Saccharomyces cerevisiae S288C: one gene and its partner. The protein of the gene in region 2 interacts with the protein of the main gene of each other region in a biochemical or structural test. Each region holds a gene or a part of one and is shown on either strand. Other genes may lie near its edges.

What was found. Proteins that work in one complex are often made in the same cells at the same time.
Region 1: the proteins of CMD1 (region 2) and THI4 form a complex in vitro, tested with the Saccharomyces cerevisiae proteins (one study listed by BioGRID).

What each region holds. Positions count from the first base shown.
Region 1 is NC_001139.9:778,518-782,043, reverse strand, and holds THI4 (thiamine thiazole synthase), read right to left. Parts: upstream 1,646-3,526; coding exon 665-1,645; downstream 1-664. Other genes in the region: ribosome biosynthesis protein ENP2, read right to left, coding at 1-277.
Region 2 is NC_001134.8:457,255-460,217, forward strand, and holds CMD1 (calmodulin), read right to left. Parts: upstream 1,109-2,963; coding exon 665-1,108; downstream 1-664. Other genes in the region: AIM3 (Aim3p), read left to right, coding at 1-411; ALG1 (chitobiosyldiphosphodolichol beta-1,4 mannosyltransferase), read left to right, coding at 1,618-2,963.

The DNA.
Region 1 (3,526 bases), on a different chromosome or scaffold from region 2:
ACTTCAGTGACAAATTAGCAAAATCGTAGACATGGATCTGAGGTTTGTATGTACCGGTAGCCATGCAATATTGCCCATCTCTACTCACTTTAATCTTATTGGAGGCTTCGCTAAATTCAAAATCTTGAATCAGTTCTACTCTATTTTGATATTCTAAATCATTCTTTAATTGCCTTTTGCGCTTTTTCGCAATCCAGTCTGGAAGTGATCTTGAAACGTTTGTACCAGAAACCTGATATACTGAAACATCATTTGCGGAAGTAGATTTCAAAACCATAATGTCCCCTTTTTGAAGATATATGTTGATACCTGTAACTGATGTAATAAATGATGTGTTACTGATTACAGCCGATGAGATGAGATGAGCTTAGCTCAAAATTTTCAATTTTTTTTTTTCTTAATTTTTTTTAAGATCATATTTGGTTACCCGACCATGAAGTGACATTTGAAGAATTGATTTATATTTTTAATATTGCAAGATGTGCGAAAACTCACCATTACAGAGATAACTAAAAGTCTTATCTCATCACTATCGGATCTTTCCACTTAGTATTTTCTACGGTTAATTTAAAAATCAATAATAAAACAAAATCATCAGCGAAAATTGTGTATATAGCGTGTATAAAAAATATATAAATCTTTAAAAGCATACCTCATTAAAAGCCTAAGCAGCAAAGTGTTTCAAAATTTGCTCAGCAGCATGAACACCACTCAAAGCCATAGCTCCAAAAGTTGGACCCATACGGTTTAATCCATCCAGTTCAGCAACTTCCATACCAGCAAAGTACATGTTGTCAACACCGGCGTATGCACCAGAGTGAATAACGACATCGTGTTCGGCATGGTTCATGTCCAGACCCTTCATACCGCCCAATTTTTGGTTTTGATCAATGTCGACGATTCTCTTGGCGCAGAAAGCACCAAATGGACCATCATGACCGGTAGTGGATAAAATGACACCATGCTTTTGACTCAAGTCACGAGTTCCGTCATTTTTGTAACCTGCCAATTCAATTACGTTAGGGTCCATGCAACATTGAGTACCGTGAGCTTGGGTAACTAACGTCCAGTTGGTGACAACACCAGCAACGGTGACTTCGCCCTTTTCGGTAGGTGGTCTGGTAACCAAATCTTCAACACAGGTAGCATTGAACAGTTTAACATTTGGTAATTGCAAGACCTTTGAAAGGACAGTAGAGATGAACAAAGCGGCATGCTTAACGACAACATAGTCACCTTCGTCTTCGTAAGGGATTTCCAACTCTTGTAAGAACAAATGAGCTGGTTTTCTCATAACCATGGCACTAAATAATTGACCACCCAACCAACTACCACCACCTGGTGCAACTGAACTTTCGATAATACAAACCTTCAAGTCTGGTCTGTTCTTGGCGATGACGTAAGCGGCGGATAAACCTGAAGAGCCCGCACCGACAATAATCACGTCAGAAACGGCAAACTTGTCAAGATCCTTGAAATAACGAGAAGTCATAGCACGAGAGACAGTGGATTCGCGGATGGGAGCAAATTTAAAGTCAGACCAATCTTCTTTCTTAACGATGTCAGATAAGCAGTGAGTAACTGGAGTAGAGTTTAAGTGCAATTGAGAGGCACTTGTGGAAGTAGCAGTAGAGGTAGCAGACATTTTGATAGTTAGTTGATTTTTTTGGTTGTGATTTATTATTTCTAGATGATAAGAAAGAGAACATAAAAGATATTTCCCGACTACTTAATACACAATTTATTCCAATATTTATATATCTGGGTAGTTCATAAATTGAAAATCAAAAAATCAATTTCATGATCCATTTCTATTAGTGCTCGTAAAAAAATTTACGATTGAACTTGGTAACTGATAGAATACCAGATTCTTTACTATCAATTATGTATGTTTTTTAACGTGCATAATTATTAAAAGACCATTTGATTTTAAAAATGACGTTAGGAGATCGGACATTTTATGAAAACTTCAGAAAAAGGGCTTAAAGTAGAGTATCGTTTTGGACGTCTACAGGAAAATGGGGTGGTAAATGTTCTTGGCGTAAAAAAAAACTATTCACTAAAGCAATTGAGTGCCGATCCCTGTTGAGGAATGCTCATAAAGAGAAAGTATCAGAATTATTCCCCGCCGTAAATTTGTAAAAAAAGGGTAAAAAACGGTTAATCCTGAAGGGGCTTGGAAAGCTCGCCAGCTTCTTGTAATTCTTGACGCCACATATAGCAATCACTAACGAAGAAGTTGACTTTTTAGGGGGTTGATAAGCATTTTTCCCACCCATTTGCATCAGTTAATGTCAATTCAGTCATGATTTGCAAGATATTAGGAGAAAAAGTATGAAAATTAAAAAAGTAATCTTGAGCGGTACGAGAATCGAACCCGTGTCCCCACCTTGGAAGGGTGGGATGATAACCACTACACTAACCGCCCGGGGTTAACTTGAAAGCTCTAAAAGCTCGTTTTCCATATATAGGCATGTTACAATTCCTTTCCATTCTTTCCATTTTATCCATTATCTGATGCATTTCCCTGATAGAATAAGAACAAACTACCATCCATCGATTAGTATTCATGTCACTAGTATATTAATTATCATTTATGATGTAAAAAGAGGACATAAAAGTTATAGAACAGTCATTAGGTTTAATAAAAGCTTAAATAAGAGGATCGATGAAATAGTAGGATAGTGAAACATATAAAATGGAAAAGAAATAATAATACTATTAGGTAGATATATTGATTCCCTTTGGATTCCTGTATCTTGCAGAAGAACTTTCAACATTTTTTCTATACGCAATATCGTAGCCTGTAACAATAATTGTTGGGATTCCATTATTGATAAAGCAATAATGTTAGGTATGTAGGATATACTAGAATTTCTACTCGAGGGTATAGGAATCCTCAAAATAGAATCGAAATTTCTACATAATAATTGAAGAGAGTGTGGGTTCTGATGTAATTGTTGGGATTCCATTGTGATTAAGGCTATAATATTAGGTATGTAGATATACTAGAAGTTCTCCTCAAGGATTTAGGAATCCATAAAAGGGAATCTGTAATTCTACACAATTCTATAAATATTATTATCATCGTTTTATATGTTAATATTCATTGATCCTATTACATCAATGCTTGCATTTCAGCTTCCTCTAACTTCGATGGCAACTTTTCATACCTTATGTCACCATCTAACGCCTTATATGACAATATACTGACATTAGGAATACTAGTTGATATAAGATAGTGGATTTTTATTCCAACAAATTTTCAGCTCCTTTTTTTCCTAGGTTATAAATAAAAACAGTTAATGAGAAATGAAAATTCTTGTCTTTACTCAAGCAGGAATTACGAAGCCTATCAGTCGCATAATTAATATTGCATATAATGTCTATATCCAACAGTGTTCTTGTAGGGTATAGGAATCCACAAAAAGGAATCAATAAGTTTTACCCTCTACACGTTGTCACCCCTTTCCTTTATCACACTATCAACCCTTGTGTTTGAGCTTCTAATAAATTCGTTCCGGTT
Region 2 (2,963 bases):
AACTCCATTACCAATGAGTTGTCGCATATCAAATTAAGAAAAACAAACGTTAATTTGGAAAAGTTAGGCGGTTCGAAAAAAGTGAAGGACTCTAGCCCTGTTCCCTCAGATCTAGATGAAAAATATGTGTCTGCATCGGGGTCTATTACTCCACCAAGGCCTCCACCTTCTAGGTCTAGTCCAAAGAAAGTGCCGCCTGTTGTCCCAAAAAAGAATGATAACCTGAAGAAAAAGCCACCAGTGGTCCCAAAGAAAAAGCCATTACTAAAATCGCTCGAACCAAGACCTATTGAAATGGAGAGGGCCTATTCGGGAGATATTTCTGCTGCTGACGATAACTTAAATCCTTTTGAAAGATACAAACGAAATGTTGTTCCTCAAGAAGATGACAGACTGCATAAATTAAAATAATGAAATAGCTACGCAACATTGAACTTAATACTGGCTAAATTTAGTTATCCGCCTTGGTAAACAATCCGTATCCTTTATTTAAACTGTCTTCTCAGGAACATTACTTATCTACATAAATAACATTAACCCTGTCTACGTACAGTATATATTTGCGTGTGGTTGTCAAACTTTAGATGAAACGATACTCAACGAATACTATAAAACCAGAATGGTAAGGGTAAGATAGCGGGAGCAAAAAATCACAAGGATGCACCTATTTAGATAACAAAGCAGCGAATTGTTGAATGTTGATCTCGCCTGATCCATCACTAACCTCTCTTAGCATATCATCTACTTCGGCATCAGTCAATTTTTCACCAATGGATGTTAGCACGTGTTTCAACTCAGCGGCGGAGATTAAACCATCACCGTTCTTATCGAATACTTTAAAAGCTTCTAGTAGTTCTTGTTCAGAGTCATTTGATTTGAGTTGACGAGACATCAGAGCCAAAAATTCACTAAATTCGATTTGATGGTTACCATCAACATCTATTTCGTTCATCAAATCATTTACTTCTGCTTCACTGGGCGAAAGACCCAATGACCTCATCACAGTGGCCAATTCACTTGATGAGATAGAGCCATTGTTATCTTTATCAAAGAGGGCAAAGGCTTCTTTGAATTCAGCAATTTGTTCTTCGGTAAGATTGGAGGACATTGTACTTTTTTATTTGTATTAACTAAGCTCTTTCTTTGTAGTTCGATAGTTTCCGGTCAAGAATAAGATTTCTATCCAGTCAGAGTACCCTTGTGAGTTAACAAGATCTCTTGTTAAACACCTTCTTACGCGGGCAATAAAAAATTCTAAGAATAAAGTCATATCACAGTACACGAAAATATAAATACATCTTGAAAATGTCTCAAATTGGGTGGAAAAGAGGGTGCTTGAATTCATTAGGACATATGGTTGATGTTCTCAGGTTCTACTTATGTTTGCTTTGTCGATTTTTGCATGCTTTGACTGTGACTTTCCTGTCTGATATCTTTGTATGGCTTGTTGCTAAAACAAGGTCAATCCAAGCAGTGATCATCTTGCACGTTGCTTCAATAGAACGCGCATATAGCAATCATCAAGTTAATTGGTCATATATCTTTCAATCAGCAATTAGCAAAGCCATTAGAGGGTAATTGTAACGGCATTTTAGGGGCTATAGTCAATTGGTGAAAATGTTTTTGGAAATTCCTCGGTGGTTACTTGCCTTAATAATATTATACCTTTCCATACCGTTAGTGGTTTATTATGTTATACCCTACTTGTTTTATGGCAACAAGTCGACCAAAAAAAGGATCATCATATTTGTGCTGGGTGATGTAGGACACTCTCCAAGGATATGCTATCACGCTATAAGTTTCAGTAAGTTAGGTTGGCAAGTCGAGCTATGCGGTTATGTGGAGGACACTCTACCCAAAATTATTTCCAGTGATCCAAATATCACCGTCCATCATATGTCAAACTTGAAAAGAAAGGGAGGCGGAACATCAGTTATATTTATGGTAAAGAAGGTGCTTTTTCAAGTTTTAAGTATTTTCAAATTACTTTGGGAATTGAGAGGAAGCGATTACATACTAGTTCAAAATCCACCGAGCATACCCATTCTTCCGATTGCTGTGCTATACAAGTTGACCGGTTGTAAACTAATTATTGATTGGCACAATCTAGCATATTCGATATTGCAACTAAAATTTAAAGGAAACTTTTACCATCCTTTAGTGTTGATATCTTACATGGTAGAGATGATATTCAGCAAATTTGCTGATTATAACTTGACTGTTACTGAAGCAATGAGGAAATATTTAATTCAAAGCTTTCACTTGAATCCAAAGAGATGTGCTGTTCTCTACGACCGCCCGGCTTCCCAATTTCAACCTTTGGCAGGTGACATTTCTCGTCAAAAAGCCCTAACTACCAAAGCCTTTATAAAGAATTATATTCGCGATGATTTTGATACAGAAAAAGGCGATAAAATTATTGTGACTTCAACATCATTCACCCCTGATGAAGATATTGGTATTTTATTAGGTGCCCTAAAGATTTACGAAAACTCTTATGTCAAATTTGATTCAAGTTTGCCTAAGATCTTGTGTTTTATAACGGGTAAAGGACCACTAAAGGAGAAATATATGAAGCAAGTAGAAGAATATGACTGGAAGCGCTGTCAAATCGAATTTGTGTGGTTGTCAGCAGAGGATTACCCAAAGTTATTACAATTATGCGATTACGGAGTTTCCCTGCATACTTCAAGTTCAGGGTTGGACCTGCCAATGAAAATTTTAGATATGTTTGGCTCAGGTCTTCCTGTTATTGCAATGAACTATCCAGTGCTTGACGAATTAGTACAACACAATGTAAATGGGTTAAAATTTGTTGATAGAAGGGAGCTTCATGAATCTCTGATTTTTGCTATGAAAGATGCTGATTTATACCAAAAATTGAAGAAAAATGTAACGCAGGAAGCTGAGAACAGATGGCAATCAAATTGGGAACGAACAATGAGAGATTTGAAGCTAATTCA